4 linked regions of the Saccharomyces cerevisiae S288C genome follow. Changing the gene in region 4 together with the main gene of any one other region gives a genetic interaction. Each region holds a gene or a part of one and is shown on either strand. Other genes may lie near its edges. The genes, in order: YOL057W, YCR102C, PAU9 and OTU2.

Region 1 (5,193 bases), on a different chromosome or scaffold from region 4:
TCTATCAATAAAGAAAGAAGGAAATATAAAAGGAAACCATGAAAAAAATGGCGCTAATTTTTTATTTTTAAAAACTATTCATGGATTCTTTTCGAAACCCTCATCACGAACCATTTGAGCATTAACTTTAGCTGATTCTGGATCCAAGTAAAATTTCCTCACAAAAGAGTAATTGTCTCTATCCAACTCTATAACTAGCGGAATGCCGTTGGGAATATCGACATCTTTGATGTCTTCATCTGAGATACCTTCCAATACTTTCAGCAGAGATCTTACAGAGCTGCCATGCCCAACTATAACACACGATTCTTGACTGATTTTGTTGGCGGTAGACAGAACAACATTATTTAAAAATGGTTTCAATCTGACGACCACTTCACAAAGAGACTCACTTTCTGGCAGACGCTCATTAGCCTTCTCTTCGGGGCCGTATTTTAAGTGTCTATTGGGCTCCTTAAAATCATAGCCTGTGGAGGACCCCTGATCATTTTCCTCTTGGACCATTTCCAGGTTTAGGTTGACTTTAGGGGGTTTTCCGTTGTAATCTCTTCTGATATACATGTATTTTTCCTTACCGTATTCTTTCAAGATATCTGGCTTTCTTTGTCCTTGCCATGCGCCGTAATGACGCTCATTTAACCTCCAGGTTTGCAACACAGGCATACTTCCTTCAAATCTTGTGTCCTGCAGCTCCTCCTTAATGTTTGTATTCGTAGTAATTACATAATTGGTGTGTTTTAGTCCCAACTCTTCGAGAATAACGTCCATGGTCTGCTGAGTTCGAATCAACCTTGAAGTATAGCCAATCTGAGGCAAAGAGATATTGTTAGAATCGCAAAACTGCTTGATCAATTTTGCAGAGTGGCGGGCCTGAGACTTCCCTTTTTCCGTTAATTGAGCATCAATCCATCCGCAGAATATGTTTTCTGAGTTTAATTCACTTTGACCATGCCTTAAAATAAACAGTTTAAAAGTGTCAGTAACAGTCATAACTATTCGTTATTAGTAGATCTTTTTGCACTATTTCTCAATCCTCTCAAAGAGACTTTTATTGTAAATCCTCGATTGCAGGTTGTTTTATCACATATGTATAAAATGGAAGCTTCTATTGTTTTATCGAACTTGTCAATGAAATCTCGCATTGTTATCATCTCATAATACAAATCTGAAAAAAAAAGTTAAAAAACAAAGGAAAGTCACACAAAACTAGCAAAAGTAACAAATCAAAATTCGCTGACAGTTAGTGCTGTCGTATCCTGTCACACTTACATAATATATATCTGTTTACATAATCTAATAGCTTGAACAAAAGCAACAGCAAAGGTTGCTAATTAAAACGTGTGCTCTTAAGGACATCATAATTCTCTATCAAGGAAAGATTGGAGCATACCCTGTGGGGTTTCATCATATTCTTTCAGGGTTACCTTGTTATTGTCGTCAATATAAGAATTCGATTGTATGAATTGTCTCCTTGGCAATCTCTTAGATAAGACGATGTCTCTTAAAGACGCCAAATCCGGTGTCACCGTTGATCTATCAATAAAGTACTTACTTCCCTGTTCCACATCGCCTGAACATTTGTAAACATGCAAATGCTTTAAATAGTCTTTCACACATTCATGTCCCGCTGTTTTAATGAGAGATTTATCCAACTTGATGGCAAAATCATCATTCGTGCTGTTCATCTCCAACTTTAAGAAATTCTTATCTGTAGAGTGCTTCATAAATGTTTTCATGATAGAAAATCTTGCTTGCATGTGTGGTTGTCCCCACTTACCAGTTTTTGGATTCCAGTATTCTAAAGCTAGGAGACCCGCACGGGCCATTTGTAGATATCCAGCGTAGATCACTTTATCTTGAGATTCGACATCATGGAAACCAAAAATATCAAGAATCTTCTTATTAGTAAGCAAAAACATGGCAATTACTTCCGCACGACATTCTTCAAATGGGCCAGCTAACTGTCCAAATTTGGAACCCCAAGTTTCACCAACTTTGTAGTATGTGCTCACCGGTTTCCCATCCAAACCTAAAGGAGGGTTTTCCTTATCAAAATTAAAGCCGTCTGTAAATTCTGTCAACAACTTTCCTGAACCATGTCCTAATAATTCATGGATGCCTACTTGGACTTCAAAAGAATCACTTTGATATTTTTCAAAAATTGGGCGATCTTCTTGCGATATAAAACTTGGCGGATGCTTGGATGAGCTTTTGGCAGCCGCGCTTAAGATATTCCCCAAAGAAACATTCTTGAACCCAATTTTAAGCCGAACATCATCATAGTTTGGAATATTGATGCCCGCTGGTATACCCGATCCAGTAAACGTTAATACTTCTAGAGAGGTGAAATCTGGTGGATTGAAAATCGGTTTTTCGTAATCTTTAGACCATGGTAGTAAGGAAATGAATTCTTCTGCGTTGTTAACCAAGCTGGAAAATTTAGCAGTACGTTCTTTGTTTTGAATTGCAACCAACGATTCAAATTCTCCAATTATGCCCGAGGGTTCTCTATATGTTTCGATAAAACCGATATTTGTTTCAATGACGGGAGATATATCTTTGACCCAAAGTTTTTGTGCTTCTTTATGTGCTTGAGAAGAGCCAGTGACAAAGTGGTTGATGTATTCCTGAAGCATTGCTTTTTGAGTATCATTAGCCGCGAATTTTTGAGCTTCCTTTAAATACGATGCTACTAAACGCATTTCACGTGAATGATCACCAAAAATGAATTCTACTTTGGTTACAGCATTGGATAATGTGATCTGTCCACTGGGGTAGGTTTCTGTTATCTGGTTTTTCACATTCTCAGAGGCAACCCAGATTTGGAAACTGTTTTCACCAACTTTGTTGATTCTTGTGTTTTCAGGCAAGATGGCAAGTTCAGCAAACAACTGCTCTTTCAAAAGAGCCATATCTTCAGGTGTCACAGGTAAACCCAGATAATAGGCTGAAGTATAACCTTGAGAGGGAAACCCTAAGAGAGCCGCCTTCTCTTCCACATGGTAAATACCAATATCAATTAGCTCATTGATGGTGGAAAAAAGATGATGAGATGTGAATTCATGGTTAACGTCAACAGGAGATAAAGTGAGCGGAGAAGAACACGGATTAATCTTGGCCAGCTCCAAAAGCTGTTTGAAGAATTTTACCTCACAACGAGGAATAAACTTAGTGTCACCAAACGATTTGAAATTACCCAAATTAGATAAGAATTGAGAAACGTATTCCAAATACAAACCCGTTTGCTGCTTCTGCGTAATATCGTCCTCTGGGTACTTGCCGTTTAGCTTTGAATGAATGGCAAGGATTAGGTCAAAAATTGGCTCACTCTCATGAGAAACTTGTCTCATTACAACCCTTGAACCCGCATGGGAGGCCTTTGACATGAAATGCGCATATTTTTGTTCCTTATCAGTCAATTGAGGAAAGTATTCTGTTTTAACAGAAAGCATGCTCAGAGGAGCATCATGATCGGCGAAAAAGTGGCTCATCTTTGAGGACTTAATGGTGCAGTGCTCAGTTTTTTTTTTCTTCTTTTCAATGTTCTGTTCTCATGAAGGTATTTTTCCTTTACGATATTGGGATTTTTCGCTACGTCAACTTATTCCGAGCGGCTATGCTCTTAGCTATTTTTTCTTCTATTCAAAATTGGTATGATGCTTTCTTAAACTATTTATACAAAAGCTTACATATGTCTACATATGTATTTACATCACAAGAGTGTGCAGAAATAGGAGGTGGAGGAAGAGATCGTTATCTATCTTGAGGCGATGAACTAGCGGACTTACAAAGTCAACTCTTCACCTTTGGTTTTTTTGGATTCACCGTATTTTTTAATTCTAATGGCCTGGATGGCAATGAAACCGGTGGTATCGGTAGGTAAGAAACCGGTCAACTCATCCATAGAGGATTCTGTCGGATCGTACAACTTTTCAGTCTTTGTAGATCTGCCCAGAATGATGACGTTACCCTTATACAGTCTAACCCTGACAGTACCGTTAACGCTATTTTGGGATGGTTGGATCATAGATCTGATGTACTCACACTCTGGGGTGAAGTAGGAACCGTTATATATCAATCTGGAGTAGTTTGGTGTGACGAATGAGTCTCTCAATTGACGGACTTCTTTGTCTAAAGTCAAACCTTCCAAATCAACATGAGCTTTTCTCAAAACAGTCAATGGAGCCTGTTCGTAACAACCTCTGGATTTCAAGTTAATGTAACGATCTTCTACAATATCGATTCTACCAACACCGTTGGCCCTTGCTAAGTTGGATGCGGCCAAGAAAACATCCAAAGGCTTGGTAACGGAAACTTCCTTGGAAGTCTTGTTGTCGGTGTAGGTCAACTTGACTGGAAGACCACGTTCAAAGTCAATGGTCAAATCTTGTGGTTGGTCCGGAGCATCCATTGGATCGACGATCAATTTCCACATGTCCTTTGGTGGGGTGGTATCTGGGTCTTCCAAGATACCTGCCTCGTAAGAAATGTGGGCTTGGTTTTCGTCAGTAGACCATGGCTTGGCCTTGGTTTGGGCGACGGGAATACCCTTTTGTGCAGCATAGTCTAACAAATCCTTTCTGCCAGCAAATCTTTCGAAAAATTCAGGCATTCTCCATGGTGTAATACACTTAACGTCTGGCTTCAGAGCGTAAAATGACAATTCGAATCTGATTTGATCATTACCTTTACCGGTACAACCATGAGAGACCGCGAAACAGCCCTCCTGTTTAGCGACGTCAATTTGGGCTTTGGCAATAACAGGTCTTGCCAAAGAGGTACCCAACAGATAAACGTCTTCGTACACAGCGTTGACCTGTACAGCTGGGAATAGAATATCCTTGACAAAATCTTCACGACAATCCACACAAACGAACTTGCAGGCACCGATCTTCAAGGCCTTTTCCTTGGCGGCATCGAAATCTTCTTCTTGCCCTACATTAGCCATGAAAGCTACAACTTCGTAGCCTTGGTCTAGTAGCCAAGCCAAAATGACGGAGGTATCTAAACCACCAGAATAAGCCAAACAAACTTTTCCCTTAGACATTATTTTATGCAATTATGTGTATTTCTTTTGTATCCGTGTATATTAGAACAATGTTCCTTATCGCTGCACAATGGGGAGACAAGATACAAGAAGTAAAGAGAGAGAGAACTGTGGGCAAGAACAAGGGAGTACGAATGTATGCCCAT
Region 2 (8,883 bases), on a different chromosome or scaffold from region 4:
AAATCCTTATGCTTACTTCTCTTAATAAAAAATAGACACAGCCATTTATTATGCGTAAAAAAGATTACCCACTTGTCTTCGATGCGTGCTGCTGCCAATCAACCTTTTGAGCGGAACTTCGAGCTCGCAATGCGTCTGGAATGTTGCTAGAGACAGTCTTGGTTATCTGTGACATGTGTTTCGTTCAGGCGTGTGAGCATCTTCTTGTTCGATTTCAAAATTACCGCCTTGACTCGTGAAACTGGATAATTCGTTGGCGTTTTCATATAAGTCGTCTGATGGCGAAAACTTTTCCTTTACTTAGCATACAGCAAATATCCCCATTTGACGGATTTTTGAAAAATGAGCCCGCTAACCCAGAATGAACTGCATTACCAAGCATTTATGTAAACGTTCCGCCACCATCTTTGGTAAGGTATACTATTATGTTCTGGATTTAAGGTTGATTCACAATTTTTCATCACCAAAATCTGGTGGCATGCCTAGTTGTCTGGTTTCAGGCAATTTAGCCATCATAGAAAAGCATCCTCTGTCTTGAGTTGAGAAAATGTTACTCATAGAGCCAAACAAATAAACCCTGGAATTAAAATATAGTTTAAACACAACTTCATATTACACTGTAAATACATATCACAATAATAAATTAACGAAATAGTAAGACCTTATGTTTCTATATGACATCAGTCCCGAATAGTGTCAATTTTTTGTCGTCAGTGTCGAACATTTTTACTGTTTATTCATCATATCGTGAGGTATGTAGGCATCTTCTATTGACTTAAGCATGATAAAAGATTCACCCAAAACTGTATCGAAATATTGATAAAATTAAATTTCAAAGTCAAACTTGTTTTCAATGGTTGCTATTTTCTTACCATTCGAGCTCTCCCTCAGGATTTTTTCACATGGAATGTTCATGGCCTCAATTTCCATGGGCTTTTTGCATTTATCTCCTTTAATTAATTGTAATGGCTCTAATGATACAGTTTCGCCATTAGCTTTGTCACATATATCGGAAAGGGCAATCTGATCATAATCTGGTATACAGTCACCCTTTGCATCTCTAACAAATTCAGAAGAGCATTCGTAGTCGGATTCAGTACAACTGTCACAAGGTATTTCATGCAAAATCATATCTTTGAATGTCCTTTTTACCAAACAACGGGCGTCCTGTTTCCTCCTTTTATACATGTATTTGGCGCCATTAAGGCATTTCCCATCTGCCAAATTCCAGTCTTCGAAATCTTCCTCTTCACACGTTTTATAGTCAAAATGCAGCAGAAAAATCGATCGCATACAGGACACTTCTTGCAATATATGAGATGTTGGTGTTGTTTCCTTCTTGACTAGCCGTAGTAATGAGATGTCCGCTTAAAATAAATTTTGAGCCTGATCCATCTGGCGTTGTATTAATCAACTCTAATGGATGGATATAAAATAAAGCGTCAACAAGCTCATATTGATTCCATGTTCTACCTTGGTCCAAGGAAAAATAAAGTTTGGATTGTACATCACCATCTTTATATGAAGGAGACGGGATATATACAATAATATTTCCCAGATCACCAGTAGCATATAATCCAGAAGAATTATGGGCCACCCTCCATGTTAGACCACCGTCTCTAGAAATGAAAGTTTTTCGGTCCTTCCGATCGAATTCATTGTCATCGCCAACAGAACCTGTCATTAATATGATCCCAGCAGAAGGATTTGAAAGTTTTAGATTGTAAAAATAACCCTGAAGTGAACATCTCTCAGGCCTAGTGATATCACAGCCGAACGAATCGGCATTTTCTTCATCAACAACTTTCAAATTTGACCATGTGAGGCCGTTATCAACGGATATTTTGGTTTCTCCTCCGGCTATATTTTCAGTATAGTTTACTTGGTGATTAGAATAGTCAATGGAAGGATGAAACGATCCAAATATTGTCCCTTTCAAGAAATCAGGAAAAGTGAGCCTAAAATTTCCAAACTGATGGTTTGGTGTCCATTCAACAGGTGAGAATTTCAACCCTTGCGAATCTGATATGAAAATCTCTGAGAGATCTGGATCAGCATTTTCCTCATTTGTGATTTCTGTCGATATAAGAAGGATGATCCTTCCGATAGAATCTTCACGAATTTTAATCACTTTGACGTGCCGTAATTGAGTAGGCAGCTGTGCCTTTTGAAAAGTAGATGCATCATTGGATATCCAGATGTCCGTAGATGACATCTCGTTATGCCCGTCATCTTGCGTTAAAACGACCACATATGACTTCAATATCTTGTATTGAGTAACAATCTTATCTTTAAATTCATCAAAATCTTTAAACGTTTTGCCTCCATCACTACTGAAAGCCAACTGTGTGTAGGTAGCAGTTAAGCGATATTCTTCATCGTATTCACGGTTAGAGAACAAACAGAGTATCGAAGTATCATTACCAGTAAAGTCAGAATCCTTGCTAGACTTAATGAAATGACAGCTTTAAGTTGTTATATCGTCGTCTTTTTTCTTTTCCAAGGAAGGTTTAATTTTAAAAAAGGATTCCCATCATTGCTCAAGTAAATTTCACTTGGGTCATATAAAACGTCTGCGTCTATCATATAGCTATAGCAATTCGCAATAAGAAGTTCTTTGTTTCTAGGATGAGTAGTTATAAAACAGTCGCCATCTAAATATTCTTCTGATGAGGGTATAGTTAAAGCCCTCCATGACTCCCCACGGTCGTCGGTAATGTAGAATTTGGGTGATTCACATATAAAAGCGAAACCTCTTTCCTGTCCATGGAAAGGATCAACAGTAAATCTGAAAATGCGCTCTTCAATTTCTTTGACCGTTTCCCAATTTTCTCCAGCGTCGAAACTTATCCATACAACCCCCCAACCATCTAATCTGATAGAAGTGTTGGAATCATCAAAACTCACTAGATTAAATGATGTTTCTATAGGAGCCTCCGTTACTTTTGGGACAAATTTCTCTGCATTGAGTAGCGGAAGTAGTATAATTACCCAAAGAGTATATATGGCATGAAGTAATATCATAATTGAGGATCTCTTACCTTTTCTTAGTTCAAAGTTTTTTTTCAAAGCTCGGAACTTTATGCTACAATTCAATGACTAAAAAAAAGGTAGCGGATAATCTTTTGGTTGCAAATTGGCGGCATTTAAATATATTTTGGGTTGCAAGTATTCTAAAAATATTCTCATAATATTCTAAAAATATCCAGTCTAGGTAATTGCAATTATTTTGAGTCCGGTGACTTTGAGTTGACCATGTTCACTTCCTGTACAGCCATCAAGGTAACGTGTTTACCATCTAATGGAGAAAACCAAGAGATAAGACTAGAAACCTAGTTAGGATACTTGGATTTGCTAATGTCGCCAGTAGTACGATAATACCATAAAGATACGCTGTTGAACCTGATTTGTATATTTAAAGAATGGGAATCTTTAAGGGATCATAGTCTAGAATGGTATTCTGCAGAATAGATTTTAAATGGTGAAAACTTTCCCTCACTATGTCCAATTGATGCTTTTTAGGATGACGTTAGAATTTTATTCTGGTGAAGGCACTTTTAATATGAAGATTCGTTGAAGTATCAATAACCTTTTATTGGCATACCCTTACCTAACTGGTCTCTCTCACCTCGTGATGTTACGAACGCCACGATTATTCTCAAACTAGGTAAAGATTTTTTCTTCAAAATTAGTGGGAAAGACTCGACAGACCCGCTTACCAGGTATTCTTTCTAAACAATAGGGTTTACCAGTACCCCTGAAAATGATAATGCCCATGTGCGGCTGATCGCGTTAACTACGTATGCAGTTGAATCAAAGCCATACCACAGAAAATGGTACAAGAGCCCACTGGATAGAATAGTGCTGGCTATCAAACCAATATTTTCTTTCCAGCTCTTGGGGGACCTCTACTGCGTTATATCGTAGTTTCCATTCAGCCTGCTTATCGCCTTAGGAAAAGGGAATGTAAGAGGCAGAAAAGTGCGGCGCAATCGTTCGGACAGCGAGCCGCTATTATAGGTAAGAATTCTTAAAGAGCTTCGCCGGATATTATTACAGTGTATTAAATTTCGCCAAGTCTTTGCCAATGGAAATAGGTGCATAATTTTATGTGCTTGGTACATATGAGTTCAATAGATATGTAGTAGTTGGATAGTAGATAGTAAGGATATATAATCATGGAAGGGTGACGCACAACAAATCACATAATGAGTTATGATTTTCACTGTTCTCATCTGTTTCCCCTACAAGGCGTGATCAATAACAAACAATTTCATTAAAAAAAAAAAAACCAAGTCACTCTAACATACGTAATAACTGTGTATACAAAAGAAAAATAATATCTGTTCGTCATCTAGTTTAATACGGCAACTAGTTTTTCACCAGAGTTCTTACCGATTTTAATGTCTTCCAGGATACGAGGAACATCGTAAAGCCCGTTCTTATAGACCCTTGCTGGAATATGGTGAATTTGCCCATCACTAATCTTTGGATTGATGAACTTGACGAATTCGGTGGCAGCTCTCCTGGCTTCTGGGTCAGCAGGGAAAGTAATGCCACCAAATGGTACTTCATGGCCGCCTATTGAATACAGTCTTGTTCTGTCAATAGTGACATTTTGCCTCCTATTCTCCTTTTTGACGTTTTCTTCTGTCAAATTAGTTAATTCGACAACGGTAGCATCCTGTTTATCGGCCGCACATTTGTACACTTGTTGAAGCGTATTTTGATTCGCGACACAGTCGACTAAATACGAGATATTGTTGTACTTGTGTTTAATTTGTTCTACCACGTCAATATCATGGTAATCAAATAGTTGATCAGCACCATATTCTTTCAACAGTTTTTCGTGTTTCCGAGAAGCCACAACAATGATCTTGGTGAAGCCATTCAATTTATTGGCTAATTGGATGAGCGACTGACCTACTGCAGTTGCACCGCCCCATAATAAGATGGGGCCGTTTCTTTGTGGGGTTGATGGCTCCCACTTCAGGTTCAAGCCCAAGTTATAGGTCAACACCAAGCCAGCTGTGGTCAGTGACACTGGGATAGTGGCTGCCCCTTCCAAAGACCTGACAGGGCCGGCAGGTAGAACATCTTCACCCAAAAATTTGAGTTCATTGGGTGATTTGTAGGCAACCACAGTTGAAATAGCAGAATATTCAGCAAAAGCACCATTGGAAGGAAACCTTACGGAAGATCCGTGAATGAACCCATAAATATAATCACCAATAGAAAAGTCTTTAGGATCGACGGCTGGGCCCAATTTGACAATTTGGCCGGCAGCGTCACATCCCAGAATAGATCCTTGAGGCCCGACCTTGTAGTCAATGTGTGCCCAATCAGTCGGGTTACCAGCAACAGCGAGTGTCTTAATCAATACGAATCCTTCTTCCAATTCAGGAATGGGAACGCCCTCTTTGACAACCGCTTTACCGTCTTCAATGACGACAGCCTTCATGGTTTCTGGAATTGCAACTTGCCTGTTTGTAGGTTATATGTAATTGTCGTTGATAATCTGTATTCAGCTTGCCATTTTATAGAATATGGTTAGAAGGATCTTAAGCTAGATAAAGAAAAAGAAAAAAATAGAAAAAAGCCTGCCCGCTTTATAAGAACTTTTCTCAATATCTGTTGAGGAACACTTAGTAATATTGTCTATCATGGTTGCTTTATTCTTGGTGATATTACTCTCTGGGATTCGATGTGTTCTCATCATCTGAAGGGTTTCCTATGTGTTGAAAGCCTATCCCACTAGACGGAGCCGCGCGCCAGCCGGGCGGATCCGAGACATCTTAGTCAGCTGAGACAAGAAAGGCACAGCTCTCGGACAGGAACTGCTGTCATATGAAAACCTAAAAATGTTTCCTGGAAATTCCATGACTGCGCAAAGTTTGATACGTTTATTGTTCTTCTCTACTACCGCACTTTCTATCTCGGAAACCTTTCAACTGAATGAACTATTGTTAATTGTATGGCGTGTGGCCTTGCTATTTCAGCAAATTTAGAGTAAAGTAAACTCCGTCGGACCAGTATAGTAACGAAACAAGCCATTGATTCTGCAGCATATTGCGACCAAAACCTGGAAATTGGTGGCTATGAGTTTTAATTTATAATTATATGAAGACAAAGCTTGGAATGCTGAGTACTTTTTCTTCAATGCTGCTCACTGCCCAGAAGCGTTCAGAACAACTCTACTGGAGCCATTCTGCTTGAAGGAGGATAAAAATGCCAAGATCAAGTCTTTTAAAGACTCTATCCCTTTTCATCGGAAAAGCACTACAAGTTTATTCTACAGAAGTGGACAAACTGTGGAACTTGATCCATACTGAGTAAGTATGGAAGACTGTTAACTTGGAGGATTTTTCTCTGCTTTCTAAAGAAGGTTCACTGCTTTACACTCACCTAGGTTCTCATGAGTATTGCTAGCTAGTGCGAGTTTGATCTATACTTCACAGACTTTTAACACCCCGTTCTTTAAGTTTTCCCTGATTATCAAGCGGATTTCCAATTCTTATTCCCCACTATCGCACCTTTCTTATCTGAATTGTATTTTTGAGTGGCCTAACTGTAATCTTTTATTTTGTTTTCTAATTATTGAAGGCGGTTTCTCGAAACATTTCACGATTTCCAAAATTCAAGAATTGAAATTATGAACATAGAAGACAAAATGCCTTTTTTATCAACTATTATGAATTCTCTAGAAAGTGGTTGCAAAGGAAATAAATATGTATTTGCTGAGAGGAAAAGTTTGGAAGAACAAAAAGTATTTCTTTGATGGAGCTGATTATCAAGCATTCTTTACGGGGAGCTTTCGAAATTTTTTATATTCAAGGACATTTATGTTGTGTGGGTTATTAAACGTGGGACTTTGGAAATACATCCAAGAAGCACAATTGAGCTCTAACGATGAACCGTTACCATAAAGATAGAGACATTTCTTTTGACTTAGAAGCTACATGGAGTACCAACTATTAATACACCTCTCCTAGAGAACATTTTTAAAATAGAATAAAATAAAGTAGCGCTCTCAACTACCCTTACACTTTTTTCCTTCATATCTGGCTAGAAAAGAGGGATTACATCTCGGAATCAAAGTTTTAATACTGCTACTACGAACTGGTTACAATTCTATTTTTATCATACACGATACTTTGAACATCAACTTCTCTCAATACCATCCGCCTTCAGCGGCTACAATTACGTAATTGCACCAAGGCATTCGCCGAGAGTTTACATATTTGCAGACCCTAACAGTATACGACTCCCAACACACGTTTAATGTTGTACGAATTCAAGAGATGGAAATATTTCTTCCGCGGAAGCCGTTTAAAGCAGACTGAATTTAGGCTTAGACAATAAGCTTCTGAACGAGGGTCCAAATCTAAAATTCGGATATTCTTTTTGACCGAAAGCGGAAACTTCACAGGCGCGCGTAAAAGGGTTTTTCAAGGCACCCCGGCACCCCTATAATTGGCATTCCCACATTCTGCGCATACGAATACACATGAGTGCCATAAAACAATACTCCACATACGAAACCTATGAAAGATGTATGATTCGTTCAGAAACAAGAGCATCTCCATAGAGATAATGAGATTGTGTGAAAGATGAGATATGGAGGATATGTGAGGTGCTAAATGAGCGTCTGTTAACGAATCGTTTAAGTAGTGATGACAGATGGAGGAACGGGTATAAATAGAGCTGCTTCAACTATATGCCTTTGAGGTATGCGCTTTCATTTCACTATTTCTTGTTAAGATTACATCAGCACTAACAAACAAAACAAATACAATGGTCAAATTAACTTCAATCGCTGCTGGTGTTGCCGCCATCGCTGCCGGTATTGCCGCTGCCCCAGCCACTACCACTCTATCTCCATCTGACGAAAGGGTCAACTTGGTCGAATTGGGTGTTTACGTCTCCGATATCAGAGCTCATTTGGCTCAATACTACTTGTTTCAAGCAGCTCATCCAACTGAGACCTACCCAGTTGAGATTGCTGAAGCTGTTTTCAACTATGGTGACTTCACCACTATGTTGACTGGTATTCCAGCTGAACAAGTCACCAGAGTCATCACTGGTGTCCCATGGTACTCCACTAGATTGAGACCAGCCATCTCCAGTGCTCTATCTAAGGACGGTATCTACACTGCTATTCCAAAATAGAGACATGCCTTTACTAATGAACTTCCATAGACATTGAAAAATAACGAAAGAATAAAAAAAAAATCTTTTTTTTTTTTTGATATAAATACAGTTGACTATATAAACATATATCAATACTATAAGCCTATATTTGATCAAGACGACATTATTTAGGTGCATCAACAACGGAAAAGAAACTTTCTTCTAGGCTATCCTTCTGGGGAAGCAGTTGAAAGTGCTATCCAGTATTATTGCATATATTCTTAATGAGTAGTGCTGAAGTTTGATACGTTTGGCTCTGTTGCTTTTATTTCTCCCACGAAAATAAATTGATTTCTTTATTTTTCAGTGTGTTGGCCCGGAGTTGTTTACACACATGTCTCTTTTTGGATTAATGCTGTAGATCAGGGACTATGCGAGCGACAAGTCAGAGTAACCATATTGAATTTTCGTCTCCTGTTATACGAATATTTGCATTTCTGTGCCTACTTATGTGTGTATATGTTTTTATTAGTCAGAAAATGGAGTAAGTGTTAAAGTAAGGATAGTGTTAAGGAGGTAATAACTAAAGATTTGTAGGATAAGGCGGTGTTATTTGTTGCAATTTTCTCAGGGGTGGAGTGGAAATGGTTTGATTCAATTATCAGTTAAGCAAGGAAGAGTTGAAGGGCGAACATTTGCAATAATCCCAATGTCATTTAATGCGGGTCGGCTGAGACGCTCAATATTCGGCCG
Region 3 (7,764 bases), on a different chromosome or scaffold from region 4:
AATTATTTTTGAGAGCCGCGGTCATTTTGTTAGTATCTCTTCTCAACTTGGGCAGCACACATGCAAAACATCACCCAATCGGTCCTTTTTGTTCATCATATCGTTACATATCTGTGAAAAGTACTTTATCTCAGTGGGTTTACGTGGGCATAGATCACGCTTCAGCCGCTCTGTGTCGACTTTCTTTTCGCCAGGTAAACTTGCTTGGTATGCAGAAAAAATCGATAGCTCATCTACGTGTAGTAACAAGAACATGTAGGGTGCCAAATTGTATCCATATTTCCTTATGGTGCTTTTCTGAAGACTCCTTACAATAGGTGTGCCAGAAACAAAGTCAGTGAAAGTACGCATCGTAGAGCTGTCGTTCGGCCTGGCACTCGCTATTTCGTAACAACGTTCCAGGACACGGAAACTCAACTCATTATAGTATCCTCTGTTGAGGTAAAAAAGAGAAAGGGTATCGTAATCCTTTCTATTGAATTTCAAAGTATGCACTTGAAACAACGTGTAGACCATCAAGTTGATTTTCTTGGGAATAAGATACTTTGAAGGGATTGGTCCGCCCTGGAAATCTGGTTCGTCTTCAACAAACGTCAGGAACTTTTGTACATTTTTCCCGACCATGACGGAAACGACAATTTTTTCAAAAGACCTTTTCCTATCCATTGCACCAGTTCTGAATTTTACCACTTTGATTAGACCAGACTTTTCGTCTTCGTAGAATGACCGCACTTCCGTGGGGATCGATTCAAATAAAGTTATTGAGGGACAATGTACCAAGTCGTTTTTGTTATTTAGAGCCGACTCAAACTCGTCAAAGTTTGCTTTTTCAAACTTACGCCTATCGGAAACTTTCATTTTATTTTTGTAAGTTTCGAAATTAACAATAGTATGTTGATTGCTATGCTTTTTGACAAGAAATCCATCAATATAAACAAAAGATTGTCCAGTTTCCGTCTTATCATCATCTAAGAATGTAATAATTAAGCTACTCTATTGAGAAGAAGCAGAATCTGCGCTATGCAGGTGCAAATCTCCAGCAGCAGCAAAGAAAATTCAGTTAATAAGAAATCTCACTAAGATAAGCGACTGTCTGTCCCCTTCAAGCACAACATAGAAAACAGAAGGATGTCTCATTCATCGCTTGATTTCCGGCCTGCAAAAATAAAGTAGTCGGTACGTACTTTCGTTTTCAATTTCCATGGTGCACAGTATCTTAACTATCTGCTTAGTCGAGGAGAACCAGGATTCTGTTCGTTGCTCAGCCGCTTCGTGGATATTCTCTTGGATACTTTAAACATGGACCTACGTTCCGCTCTCGAAAAGACCAATATAATAAAAAGTTATAAATTACATTTCCTTATTAGGTATACGACCTCGCGCTTCGAAGTAGAGGAGCCCTTTTTGGCGTACCTACATATGGCGCGTCAGACAGACAAACTTCCCCCAAAAATGTATTACCCCGCCGAATAAGAAAACAGACCCATTCACCCACGACGTATCAAGTTACTTCCTTGGTGCAATGTCCCACTATAAAAAAATTCCTTGACGCTAGATCGTTGGACTAAAATCTGCGTCACAATCGCCTAAACAGGAAATATTGCCTATTTTCGTACAAGGTTACTTCCTAGATGCTATATGTCCCTACGGCCTTGTCTAACACCATCCAGCATGCAATACAGTGACATATATATATACCCTAACACTACCCTAACCCTACCCTATTTCAACCCTTCCAACCTGTCTCTCAACTTACCCTCACATTACCCTACCTCTCCACTTGTTACCCTGTCCCATTCAACCATACCACTCCCAACCACCATCCATCCCTCTACTTACTACCACCAATCAACCGTCCACCATAACCGTTACCCTCCAATTAGCCATATTCAACTTCACTACCACTTACCCTGCCATTACTCTACCATCCACCATCTGCTACTCACCATACTGTTGTTCTACCCTCCATATTGAAACGTTAACAAATGATCGTAAATAATACACATATACTTACCCTACCACTTTATACCACCACACATCACATGCCATACTCACCTTCACTTGTATACTGATATGCCATACGCACACGGATGCTACAGTATATACCACTCTCAAACTTACCCTACTCTCACATTCTACTCCACTCCATGACCCATCTCTCACTAAATCAGTACTAAATGCACCCACATCATTATGCACGGCACTTGCCTCAGCGGTCTATACCCTGAGCCATTTACCCATAACTCCCACGATTATCCACATTTTAATATCTATATCTCATTCGGCGGGCCCAAATATTGTATAACTGCTCTTAATACATACGTTATACCACTTTTGCACCATATACTAACCACTCAAATTATATACACTTATGCCAATATAACCAAAAAATTACCACTAAAATCACCTAAACATAAAAATTATTTATCTTTCAACTTTACGAAATAAACACACTCAATTGCGTATCTATACCACCATGACGTCATTAACGTAAAAGTTCCTTAATATTACCATTTGCTTGAACGGATACCATTTCAGAATATTTCTAACTTTCACAGACCATACATTAGAATAATATGCCACCTCACTGTCGTAACACTCTATATTCACCGAGAAACAATACGGTAGTGGCTCAAACTCATGCCGGTGCTATGATACAATTGTATCCTATTTCCATTCTCATATGCTATCCGCAATATCCTAAAAGCATAACTGATGCATCTTTAATCTTGTATGTGACACTACTCATACGAAGAGACTATATCTAAAGAAGACGATACAGTGATATGTACGTTGTTTTTGTAGAATTATAATGAAACGTCAAATAACCCTACTATATTATAACTTATCAGCGCCGTATACTAAAACGGACGTTACGATATTGTCTCACTTCATCTTACCACCCTCTATCTTATTGTTGATAAAACACTAACCCCTCAGCTTTATTTCTAGTTACAGTTACAACAAACTATCCCAAACCATAAATCTTAATATTTTAGGTGTCAAAAAATGAGGATCTCCAAATGAGAGTTTGGTACCATGACTTGTAACTCCACTACCCTGATCTGCAATCTTGTTCTTAGAAGTGACGCATACTCTATATGGCCCGACGCGACGCGCCAAAAAATGAAAAAAGAAGCAGCGACTCATTTTTATGGAAGGACAAAGTGCTGCGAAGTCATACGCTTCCAATTTCATTATTGTTTATTGGACATACTCTGTTAGCTTTATTACCGTCCACGCTTTTTCTACAATAGTGTAAAAGTTTCTTTCTTATGTTCATCGTATTCATAAAATGCTTCACGAACACCGTCATTGATCAAATAGGTTTATAATATTAATATACATTTATATAATCGGCGGTATTTATATCATCAAAAAAAGTAGTTTTTTATTTTATTTTTTCATTACTTTTCACTGTCTATGGATTTTCATTCGTAAAGGCATCACTCCCTAGTTTGCGATAGTGTAGATACCGTCCTTGGATAGAGCACTGGAGATGGCTGGCTTTAATCTGCTGGAGTACCATGGAACACCGGTGATCATTCTGGTCACTTGGTCTGGGGCAATACCAGTCAACATGGTGGTGAAGTCACCGTAGTTGAAAACGGCTTCAGCAACTTCGACTGGGTAGGTTTCAGTTGGGTGGGCGGCTTGGAACATGTAGTATTGGGCCAAGTGAGCTCTGATATCAGAGACGTAGACACCCAATTCCACCAAGTTGACTCTTTCGTCAGATTGAGCTAGAGTGGTGGTTGCAGAAAGCAGTAGCAGCGATGGCAGCGACACCAGCAGCGATTGAAGTTAATTTGACCATTGTATTTGTTTTGTTTGTTAGTGCTGATGTAATCTTAACAAGAAATAGTGAAATGAAAGCGCATACCTCAAAGGCATATAGTTGAAGCAGCTCTATTTATACCCGTTCCTCCATCTGTCATCACTACTTAAACGATTCGTTAACAGACGCTCATTTAGCACCTCACATATTCTCCATATCTCATCTTTCACACAATCTCATTATCTCTATGGAGATGCTCTTGTTTCTGAACGAATCATACATCTTTCATAGGTTTCGTATGTGGAGTATTGTTTTATGGCACTCATGTGTATTCGTATGCGCAGAATGTGGGAATGCCTATTATAGGGGTGCCGGGGGGTGCCTTGAAAAACCCTTTTGCGCGCCTGTTAAGTTTCCGTTTTCAGTCAAAAAGAATATCCGAATTTTAGATTTGGACCCTCGTTCAGAAGCTTACTGTCTAAGCCATCATTTGGTGTGTCCTAAACGGTTTCCATGCAAAGCAACATCTTTGTTACTCATTCCTGAAGGTTGAATAAAAAATAGCAACCATGTGCAGGGAGTCGTATATTGTTAGATTCTAGAGACTTGTACGCATCATCAAAGCTGTAAATAGAATAAACATACGCAAGGCGTCAAAAGTGCATAGTTAAGAAAATTCCTGACATGTGAAAATATGTGTTTATGAAATGTGTCAAGGCCCGTCTATAGCGTAGTTAACCCCTCTGCAGGAGTAAGTGACTTTTTTTACGCTCAAAAGGCAACGAGGGCACATACTTAAAAGTCATTTTCAAACACATCTGCAGTTTGCAACGACAGATAACAATATTATGATAGGATGGTATGATGTTATTAGCTGCCACATATTTTTTAACATAGCATTAGTCACGTCTCTTCAATTGTTGGGATGAAACTCTAAAATATCATTCCTTTAGTAGTATTCCAGTTACCAGTATATTATCACATGCCGAAAAAGAAGATGACATAAAGATCGACAAACAGTCTTCAAATATAATGGAAGCTGGAATGCAAGGATTGATAATGTAACAGGATACTGAATGACAAAGTATAAATGAAAAAAAAAAAAAAAAAAAAGTAGTAATACTATTATGTGGAAATACCGATTCCATTTTGAGGATTCCAATTGTTGGAATAAAAATCAACTATCATCTACTAACTAGTATTTACGTTACTAGTATATTATCATATACGGTGTTAGAAGATGACGCAAATGATGAGAAATAGTCATCTAAATTAGTGGAAGCTGAAACGCAAGGATTGATAATGTAATAGGATCAATGAATATTAACATATAAAACGATGATAATAATATTTATAGAATTGTGTAGAATTGCAGATTCCCTTTTATGGATTCCTAAATCCTGGAGGAGAACTTCTAGTATATCTACATACCTAATATTATAGCCTTAATCACAATGGAATCCCAACAATTACATCAAAATCCACATTCTCTACACCAATACCATCGACGAGAGCTTCTAGTAAATTGTATACATAACAGTATAACCCTTACCAACAATGGAATCTCAAAGATTATTAAATTATTCACAGACTCTGAGGATTCGGGTAAAATAGGGTATTTAACTGGTTACCGGAAAGGTTTAGAAAATTCGTGGAGGGTTGGCCGAGTGGTCTAAGGCGGCAGACTTAAGATCTGTTGGACGGTTGTCCGCGCGAGTTCGAACCTCGCATCCTTCAGTATTTTTTTTGATGATTTAACGTACTATTAACTAGAATAATAGGGAAATGCAATTGCAGTTTGAGAAGAAGAATTATTAATAAGCCAAAAAGCGGCTCACTAAGTAAGTTTTTCTTCATGGCGTCCTTTGCATCCAGCAATAATGGTTTTAGCAAAAAAATCTCTTTCACTACACAAGTTGGAGCATATTTTTTAACAAATACAGATAAACGAAAGGCGATAATAAGTATACTTCCTATGTACAAGAATCTTTAAGTGATATAATCTTTCAGCGGACTAGAAGAATAGGGCGTTCAACTGTTGTCCTTGCAGAATTGCGTAAACTCCTTCAAGTAGTCATTATTTTGCTCGCAGTTTTGCCTTAAAATGCCCTCTGTTGTAGAAGTTAAAATTTGTTCTATTTTTCTATTATTTGCCACCCACTCTGTCACCTTCGTCCAATCCTTATATTGAGCTTCCTGTTTCTCCGCTCTTTCTCTTGCAGCGTAAGGATCAATTCTTGCGTCTATAAGTGGTTCCGCAGTAGTCTTTTTATTATTACCGCACTGCTGATCGGTCTCGTTCTTCATCTCTGCTGCCTCTTTTTCGCAAAATGAAATTATATTATTCCGTATTTGCCAGTTCGGATATAGTTCTTGCTTCAAAAATTCCTTACACTTATTTTTTCCATTAATAGAGCCTTTCCTATAGTTGTTTAATTTTTGTCTTATTATATCATCACTTCCATGCCTTAGAAACCTCAAAAATGAATCTATCAAGCTTGGATCAACACATCTTTCTCGCGTAACTGTGATTGTAGTAAGTGACGGTTCATCATTCGGAAAAGTAAGATTTGTTTCAAGTAAGCTTTGGGGTGCCGTAAACGTACGCCTATTATCAACCATACCGTCTTTTTGTCTACGTGTATAAATGAGAAGTTTTTTTTCTAACTATATCCAAGTTTTTCAAACTACCCAAAGGATATTTAACTTGGCGGACAAAATTACCGTCACGTTCAAAAGTGAATATATAGGCGATTCTGGGTAACAAGCAAAAGTAAACTACAATATGGAATAGTGTAAAACTTCACTTATCAACAACAAAATCGCTTCAAGCCTCCTATCTTAGAGTCTAGAGCCTGATAAAATTCTTATGCGAGCAAGGGCAACCTGATCGAATTTTATAAAAACTATTTATGGACTAAAAACCTACAGCGCTCTTCATCATATCCCTTCCCGTTTCTTCCATTGCGTCATTCATGGTTTGTCCCATTGTGGTTGCATAGTCATTAATAGTGGTTTCTACCGTGTCTAAACGAGTTTCAATTGCCCTAGAAACACTTTTAAGGACACCATATCCATTACTTCTTCCAGAGCTTCTTACAGGTCTGGCATACCTGTGATCTTCCGTACCGGGAGGTAACTTTCTGGCTGCATTACTACTACTGGAAGATATGCATCCTCGAGCAATTGCGCTTTCCTCATACTTCGATTCGGGCCTTTCTATACCGCCCAGTAGCTCATCAAGTTGATATGGTGTGCAATAAATAGTTCCTCTAGCCCATTGTAAGGAATTCACTTGAGGCCTATAACCAATCTTTAAATCAGGATTGTACAAGGTATCAATAGGAGTATGTTGTGATATGTCAGCAGTATGATTCGTTCCGGTGGCACTTTCATTAAGTACTGAAATCAAAGAGGCTTGGAATTTCCCTGTGCGAATGACAATGTCACCATTTTCTAATATAGATGAATTTTCAACGTATTGAGCGCTTAGAGGGACCGGGCAGCGTAGATTTTTGACTTCCTTAAGCTCAGGTACTGTCAAAACTTTAATATCTCCATTAATTAGCAAAACGATCATAATAGTTGAAAGCTTTCTTTCTCCTTTACCGTCAATAATGGGAATAAATGATAATCCACTAGTGGCAATTGGATACTTGAAAAGCGCATGAGTGTCCTTAGATTTACCTGGTGATACTAAACGAATGTCATTTGCGCCACTGATAGTAACAAATCCAGGTATTGCGATACCCTTGCTTAAACCCTGCATCTTTGATATAGTAGCAGAACAACTGTAGCCAGTATCTTTGGCAAAAGAATTTATTCCTAGAATTTTTCCTTGATTGTTGGTCTTTGTTGCATCAGTGAATTTAACCTCAAATCTTCCATTAGTTGCAGGCAGTATTTTGAAAGTCATCAATTCCCCGATATCCGTTCCACATAGCATCAAAATACTAGAGAACCCATCATCTCCATATTCCATGACG
Region 4 (8,656 bases):
GTCGGTATGGACACTGTTGACATGATAGAACAATATTGGAAAACAGAATTCCTCATCACAGATACTTGGCCTAGTTTCGTTTACTTCTTGGTCTTCGTCATTTTCGCATTCTTCTGGAGACCTACAAGTACATCATATTTACTAGCGTGCTCGCATCAATTACCAACTGACATGGAAAATGTATCAGAATTCGATTTAGATGACATAAATTCCTTGTCTGATGAGGCATTGCCTAATAGAGAGCCACGTAATGACTACCAGGAACACGATCACAATATGGATATTGATTTAGCATCCGATTTTGAAGAAGTGCCAAGTGTAAATGCAAATACGAACGCAAATAATGACGTATTGTTCGACGTAGATTACGACAGAGATGCAAAAAATGATAGAAGTACTACATAAACGGACCAAATAACATAAATTTAGAAATTTCCTTTTTTTTTTTTTTTTCCCCTTGACTTTCTTTTCTTTTATGTACCTATAATGAAAGACTATTTTATAATTAGAGCTATTTAAAAATTATTAATGAGGTTGATGAGTGGATAGAATATTATATTTTGAAAGCTAAATTATTTCATCAACTTGTCCGAAATGTGATGATTGTCTATGTGCTCTCGCACTAATTTGGCTTGTTACTACATGCAGATCTTGTGGGTTCGAATTTTGCCATTCCCTTAATTTATAAGTTTGACCAGATAGATCCCAGTAAAGGCCTCGCAAAGTGGTATATATACCATGCCTACCTTCCCAGAGTGGATAAATACAAACGGCAAACGCACTGAAAAAAAGCCAGATGATCATCACAACAACCCAACCGGTAAAGAATTTTTTACTGAAGATATATTTGGAACCATACATGGGCATGGGCCAAACTACCAAAAATGCCAAAGCGAAAAAAACACATAGGAAGTATGCAATTTTTAAACCACGTGCTAGTTCTCTTTGTTCTTCGTCTAATTCATTTTGTAACTGTGTGTCATCTTCTTGAAAAATGGCATTACTTATTACAACACCAAGGTTAGGCTCAATCAATTTTTCATTATTTACTCTAACATCGTTTTTTTCACTATCTGAGACCAGAGAATTTGTTTCTTCTTCTTGTTCCTTATCGTTAGCTTCAGCATCGTAAAGCTGGATATCAGGGTCAGCCTGAACTAACTCTGCAGTTTCGTCAACTCTAGTAATATCTTTCATTTTCTCCCAGTCAAAATTTTGTGGCTTAAACACATACGTTAAAATAGGAATAAAAATGGCTGGTGATAGCAAAGCCACCAAGTTACCTGTTAACATTGGATAATCCATGAACGTAGTATCCACGGTCAATTCTTTATAAAGGGATTTGGTACAGACAAGCCATGACATTATAGCCAGTCCTGTGCCCAAAATAGGCGACACTACAGCGGCCACCAAATTCATGTCTTTGGAACATAAGGTCAAAACGACAGGTAATACTGCACTACTAATAATTATACCCATCATTTCATAGATATAACCCATAGAAATACCACCATAGTATAAACCAACCGAAAATCCACTCATGGCAAGACCAAAAAAGATACAAGCAACGTGTGATGTGTAAATCAATTTCTTACCGCTTGCACGAGGATCAATATATTCTCTATAGATATCGTAAGTGAAAACAGATGAAACGGCAATTAGTTCAGCAGACATAGCAGATGTGACGGCCATGAAAATCATTAGCAGCGATGCCACAGCACCCCCCTTACCCATGATAGCAATTGCAGCTGCCGGCAAGACTAACCCAGAATTTGCCTGGAACGAAGTAAGTGGATCAGGATAGGTGGGGAAGTTCGGAGACGTTTCCACCGCAAGACATGCTAATCCCATGGTCAATGAAATCAAAGAAGGTACTGCAAACCATGCTAACCCACCGATGGCATATGCTTTCAAACTCGCTGCGGGACTAGCAGAAATCGCTTTATTCCAATAACCATTATCAAGGAAAACGGTGCCGAAATTTCCAATCAGGTTAATAATTAATAAAATACCAGCGGATTTGGATGTCATGGTCATATATTCACCCTGATAGTTACCGTCTACTGGATGCCTCTTGGCGGCTTCACGAACTAAGTCATAAACTTTTCCCGGTGAGCCTAAAACATCACTAGTCGCATAAACTTTAAAGGCAAATACGAGGACAATGATGATAATGACACATGTGTGCATATAGTCCGTTAAGAAAGTTGCTTTAATCCCACCAAATAGAGTATAAACAACAACACCCACAGGCAGTAAAAAACATGATGCGATAGTGTTCATCCCGGTTAAATCACTAAAGACAGCAGAACCTGAAGTTAAAAGCATTGAAGTGACTAAAATATTCGTCGCGATGGCATAAAACAAGTAGCAACCATGGCCGATCTTACCATATCTTGTTCTCACTAATTCTAAATATGTGTGCGCATTGGGAGCCATTTGCTTGGTTTTAATTGCCAAAATTGCGAATGCAATAATTTGGAAGCATGCGCCAGCAGCGTACGCATAACCGCCAAATATACCGTCTGCATATTCCTTTGTTGACGACGTTAACAATGTAGAACACCAGATCCAACTAGAAACCACGGCTGCAGCCACTAAGCCGGTTTTTACAGATCTACCGGCGGTGGTGAATTCTTCTGCTGTGATGATTTCCTTTTGATAACGTTTCAGTAAATAAGTGGTCAAAACCATCATTCCTGCAAATACGGCCCCTAGGCCCAATACAATAGCGTACCCAGCGCCTTGAGGTAGCGGAGGTTTAAATTCTCCCATACTATAACAATGACAAATTTATGTTATTACTTTTTCTTGGATGAACCCAATTTAAGAATCTAGACAAGGGAAACTGCTAACAATAGTAAAGCTACGGCTATACTACTGCTTCATTTTATATACTTGGCGAACAAGACGTATCTTCATGCAACACCGATGAATAGAGCACATCTTGCCTGTTATCTAAGGATAACCGTACCGTAGAAAGCGCAATGATGAGTTACACCTTTCCCATAGGTACGCCTGCTTGTTTCTATGCTGCAACTGACTATTGGCCTGTCCACTCTCGAGCATTATTGTCTGTCGCATTTGCTATCATAAAATATCCCGATAAGATAACACCCAAATGTGCGCCGCCTCATTTCATCATCGGAAAAAAGGTGCGGCACCAATAGATAAACAGAATTGGAATGCCTAGTTTGAGTCAGCCTTGCTGCATAAAACAAATACCTGTATGACTGCTTTTGCATCTTTAAGAGAACCTTTGGTCTTGGCTAATCTCAAAATTAAAGTTCATATCTACCGTATGAAGCGCTGATAAAGAGCGCCAAATCTGCACCTTGTGCATTTTGTTCACACATTCTTGGCGCTCCTAACTGGAGAAACGTCTATCATTGAGGATAACTCCGGATAGTCGCATTCTGATTGAATAGCCGTCTAGCTCCCTATTGTGACTAGAATACTATTGACATCGTTTTCTCATCAAAACCTCCCGATAAAGGGAAAAAAAGAATTATCTGACCAGATCATTCGGAAAAATGCGTATCGTCATTGATATCCTTCTTGTCTTGTCTGCTGCTAACACTATTTACTATGGAAAGAGAGATTTCCCTGAAACTTCTTATTTTTATCTCTATAGAAGGGGAAAAGATAAAAGTAAAAATGTAAAAATGTTTACCTGCAAGTTCACACCTGTACATTTTCTACATCCGTAAACATAAGAGAAAAAATGCCACAACTATTTTTATGAAGATAAAGTTCGGGTAACGATAATGTTTTAATTTTGAAAAAAAAACTTCGACGCATTCGCGACTAGCCTCAGAGATTGAGTAATAGACCGTATTGAATTCAAAATAATAGTAAAGATGGGTTATTTCATTCAAGCTCAGCTTTAGATTGAAACTCCTACAAGAAAGCAAGTAAAATAAACAAAAAGGTATATACAAAATGTCTGACTTTCAAAAGGAAAAGGTTGAAGAACAAGAACAACAACAACAACAAATCATCAAGATTAGAATCACTTTGACCTCCACCAAGGTTAAGCAATTGGAAAACGTCTCTTCCAACATTGTCAAGAACGCTGAACAACACAACTTGGTCAAGAAGGGTCCAGTCAGACTACCAACCAAGGTTTTGAAGATCTCCACCAGAAAGACTCCAAATGGTGAAGGTTCTAAGACTTGGGAAACCTACGAAATGAGAATCCACAAGAGATACATCGACTTGGAAGCTCCTGTTCAAATCGTTAAGAGAATCACTCAAATCACCATTGAACCTGGTGTGGATGTCGAAGTTGTTGTTGCTTCCAACTAAGCTGGTTCTAACTGGAAATAATTTCCATTAGATTCCTCTTTTTCTCGTCCATTAACCAAAATATATTATTGAATTCAGCGGTTCCTTTTTTCTCATTTTCGCATATAGCTGCACTATTAGAATCAGCCCACTCTAGGTAAACACAGTTCCTCGATATACCTCTGTCTTACTATCAGTGGTTAAACCTTATGCAAATATAATATATATATATATATATATATATATATCTCATACTTTTGTTGATTCTTGTGTAATTATTGGAAAAGACAAAACAAAGCAAGCGTTTCTATTCATATTTACAAGTATTTTTTATGACAAACTATTTCTTAATTTTCCCACCGGCGGCTTTGAATAAGGCAATGTCATTGTCCTGCATAATATATTGTTTGCCTGCACGTTTGATAAGTCCCTTAGATTTTAGTAAAGACTCATTTAGCGGTGGTTCCATCTTCTTCAGATCGTCATATTTTATTACATCAGCGCTGATAAATGTTTCACGCAAGTCGCTATGGATTACACCCGCGGCCTCTTGAGCGGTGGTTCCCTCCCTTATATTCCATTGGTGAACTTCTTGTGGGCCGCATGTAAAGAAGCTAATTAAGTTCAACAACTTTCTCATTTCTAGTATTATTTGCGGTATCGCAGAAACTAACTGTTGATCAGAAACATTGGTATCTTCCTTGATCTTGTCAAAATACTCTGACGCTATGCCTTTACATTCCATCAATTGCGATTCAAATTCTGCACTGAAAAGTAGGAATTTATCTCCTGGCGAAAATTCGTTAATCCATTCTATAATATTTCTGACAAATTTATTTTCATTCCTAACGTAATCTTGAGGTGAAACATTTAGCAATATCAAAGTTGGTTTGGAGGTTAAAAAGTTATGCTTATTCAAAATTTTGACTTCATCCAGGTTCCAATGATCTTTGAAATGCCGGATTTTTTTACCGTTAAACAAATGTTCCTCTAATGCATCTAATAATTCTGTCTCTATCTTCATTTCCTGATGTTCTTTAGAATTCTTCGAAACCATTCTCATCTTCTTACTAAGTCTTTCCCTAATGTTTTCCAGAAATTCTAAGTCTTTCAAGATGAGTTCATCTTGTACCACGGATAGATCTCTGACAGGATCAACATTACCTTCTATATGGGTGATGTCTTCCTTTAAGAATCCTCTCACCACTTGAAATATCCCCTCTACGTGTCTGATATCGTTTAAGAACTTGTTACCCAAACCATGGCCTTGAGATGCGCCTCTGGTGAGCCCAGCAATATCATATATTGTGAGTGTTCCAGGTACGCATTTCGCACTCTGATATATTCTCAATAAATTAGAGAGCGGCACGCTAGGTATATTGACTTTGGCACATTCTGCGTCAATGGTAGCGAATGGATAATTTGCAGGATTTCCCAATTTTGAGTTTGTTATTGCTTGGAAAAAAGTCGATTTACCAACATTAGCAAGCCCTACTATCCCTGAAGTTGGATTATTCGATATCCTCCCAAGTAAAAATTTTCCTCCACCAATGTTCATATCCGATTATTACTTCTCTTTATTCTTTTATATCCATATGCTTCAAACTATACAATTAAATAGATGCATTAAGGTTTACAAATAAGCATATCTCATTAGATACGGATGGGAAAAATCAAGAATCATGCAATGAATTATAATGCTCACCTAATGCATAGCTGTGTTTATAGTAAACTAGCTTCAATTCAGGATTTTTCCCACATTCATTGTACACTTGAATAGGTCTTCCACTCATCAGAATGCTAATGGGGCAGTCGAAAACGTGAGAGAGAGCCAAAATCTCAATTTCACCACCCCATTGAGCTGTATGCTCCATCTCTTTCGTATACTCATCAATGTCTTTCATCTTCATAGTTTCTTCATCAAACAAATATGGAATGAAATCATCCCTGTGCTCCTGTACGTAATTACAACTCAACCATCTCAGCTTCATGACATCCATGTCTTGATCCAGTTTTTTTGGATCATGGCGTAATTTTAACTGATCTAATATAGATGCAAAGAGACAGTGGCCATCGGGTTGTATATCGAATTGTTTCAGTTTCTTCAACTCGCATAACTGATCTATAGACTCCTGCTCCATTTTTTTCAAGTCCGGTTGTTTGGATGCTTCTAAAGCAGCCTCTTCTTTCATTTTAGCAATTGCTGCATCTCTTTTGGCCAATCTTTCCTTTTGTCTATTGCGACGCTTCTTTGTCTGGCCTTGTTGCTGTTGTTGAACGGGAACATTCTGTTGTTCTTTCTCATCTCGAGATATGGATAGTTGTTCTAAAAGTTTTTCAGGAGTCACTTCATCTTCTTGTTCTGCGTCAAACACTTCATTATTTGCAATTTTCCAATCCCTTATTTCATTTTCTTGCTTAGTCTTTAGTTTATCTTGAAGATCTAGGCATTTCGAATTAACTTCTTTCCTTTTGGATTTAGTAGCCTGCTTTTTCATACCCGTTATCTTATTCTGTAAATCTTTATTTTCCTTGCGATGTCTCGCCAAAATATCTTCCATGTTTTCCAAATTCTCTCCTGATTCCATGCCGGTCATGATGAATATCTCTTGTTCTCTCTACTAGATTGAATGCTGTGCTTTAGTTGGATTTTGTATTAGATGCTTTCGAGATGCCCAAACTAAAAACAAGGCGTGAAGAAAAAGAAATTTCGCGACGCATAATAATACTTTCTTTGACAGGGCCAGGGCTGCCAACTTTTCAGATTTTAACAATTGAGAAATTTATTGTGGTAAGAAAACCATAAATTTCCACTCTGTTGGAATTAAAATTTCCTGTATTGAACGAGAGTAGAAGCACACAATTTTCTTGAAGAAAAAGTAGTTAGTCTTCCATAATGTTCAATGGCCTTATCACACAAAAAAAAAAGAATGAAAGTACTATCAGCTTATAAGTCCTGATTAATTAAAAAAAGAATGCAGGAATAGCACCTTATAGTAAAAAAAGTAAATTTAAGTAATTAAATATAACTATACTGTAACTTTTTTGAATTGTATTTTCCCTGGCATTTACAATCTTTTTGTAACCTGGAATTTAACGATAACTGACACAAGTGATTCTTGATAATAAAAAAAAAAAGGAAAAATATTTCACTGTTCTACATAGTATATACAAGATCAATGACGGTTTTCTCTGGAGTAAATAAAATAGAGTTTGAAGGTACTTTCGAAGGTATTGGAAAGGATGTTGTTATGTCACAAATGATAAGGGCCTTGCAGAAACATTTTCCTTCGATACGTGACAAGAATTATGAGTTTAGCCTATTTTTGCACATTTTTCAAAGATATGTCTTAGAAAATACTTCAATCACCCATGATCTAGTTTGTGACAAAATTAGATTACCGATAATTGATGAAGTGGTTGAACTCGATGATATTAAAAATTACGGTTTGTTAGAGGGTAAACTATTATCAAAGTTAGCTATTTTAAAATTAACCGGAAAGGCTAATCCAATCATTGGTAAAGAAAGCCCTTTATTCGAAGTAAAAAATGGGATGTCTTCATTGGATGTAATAGTTCGACAAACGCAAAATTTGAATGTACGATATAATTCAGACGTTCCTCTTATATTTATGACCTCGCTTGAAACTGAATCTCAAGTATCAAACTTCCTTGAAGAGCATTATTCTTCTAGCAAAGTGAGATGGAAAACCGTAGTTCAGTCAAGCTTTCCACAAATTGATAAAGATAGATTATTACCTATCGATTTACAAATAAATTCTCATGAAAATGATTTTTGGTATCCTTGCGGGACTGGTAACCTAACTGACACTTTGTATTTTTCAGGAGAATTGGACAAATTAATTGCTCAAGGAAAAGAGATTTTATTTGTTTCAAATGTTGACAATTTGGGCGCTACAGGAGATTTGAACATTTTAAATTTCATCATAAATGAAAAAATCGAGTATCTTGTTGAAGTAGTTGAAAGGACTGCAAATGTTTCAAACACTGGAGTGTTGGCAACATATAAAGGTAAACTACGATCGGTTTATTACAACTGCTTATCCAATGAAAGTGCAAGCACGTGTCGAATTGTCAACACTAATAACATTTGGATTGATTTGAAAAAGCTAAAGGTGCTAATAGAGTCTAATAGTTTAAATTTGCCAATTCATTCTAGTGAAAGTAAAATAACACACAAAAATGAAGAGATAGAGTGTCTTCAATTTAAGACACAGTTGGTCGATTGTATTGCCTTCTTTCCGAACAGTCGAGTATTGAAAGTATCAAGAGACAGATTTTTACCCCTAAGAACATGTAAGGACTTGTTTTTGTTGAAATCAACATTATATGATCTCGATTCAAATGG

Evidence for each region.
Region 1: mutations in OTU2 (region 4) and YOL057W together harm fitness more than expected from each alone (negative genetic interaction), as found in Saccharomyces cerevisiae (one large-scale study listed by BioGRID).
Region 2: mutations in OTU2 (region 4) and YCR102C together harm fitness more than expected from each alone (negative genetic interaction), as found in Saccharomyces cerevisiae (one large-scale study listed by BioGRID).
Region 3: mutations in OTU2 (region 4) and PAU9 together harm fitness more than expected from each alone (negative genetic interaction), as found in Saccharomyces cerevisiae (one large-scale study listed by BioGRID).

What each region holds. Positions count from the first base shown.
Region 1 is NC_001147.6:219,065-224,257, reverse strand, and holds YOL057W (dipeptidyl-peptidase III), read right to left. Parts: upstream 3,492-5,193; coding exon 1,356-3,491; downstream 1-1,355. Other genes in the region: phosphoglycerate mutase family protein GPM3, read right to left, coding at 79-990; ARG1 (argininosuccinate synthase), read right to left, coding at 3,785-5,047.
Region 2 is NC_001135.5:300,007-308,889, forward strand, and holds YCR102C (uncharacterized protein), read right to left. Parts: upstream 5,462-8,883; coding exon 4,355-5,461; downstream 1-4,354. Other genes in the region: YCR099C (uncharacterized protein), read right to left, coding at 826-1,293; EMA35 (Ema35p), read right to left, coding at 1,265-2,215; YCR101C (uncharacterized protein), read right to left, coding at 2,476-3,024; seripauperin PAU3, read left to right, coding at 7,795-8,169.
Region 3 is NC_001134.8:4,152-11,915, forward strand, and holds PAU9 (seripauperin PAU9), read right to left. Parts: upstream 3,583-7,764; coding exon 3,454-3,582; downstream 1-3,453. Other genes in the region: YBL111C (uncharacterized protein), read right to left, coding at 65-858; MIX23 (Mix23p), read right to left, coding at 5,810-6,400; putative Rab GTPase-binding protein SRO77, read right to left, coding at 6,696-7,764.
Region 4 is NC_001140.6:71,470-80,125, forward strand, and holds OTU2 (deubiquitinase OTU2), read right to left. Parts: upstream 6,885-8,656; coding exon 5,961-6,884; downstream 1-5,960. Other genes in the region: YHL017W (uncharacterized protein), read left to right, coding at 1-405; DUR3 (Dur3p), read right to left, coding at 568-2,775; YHL015W-A (uncharacterized protein), read left to right, coding at 3,230-3,313; 40S ribosomal protein uS10 RPS20, read left to right, coding at 3,943-4,308; YLF2 (Ylf2p), read right to left, coding at 4,628-5,845; YHL012W (UTP--glucose-1-phosphate uridylyltransferase), read left to right, coding at 7,467-8,656.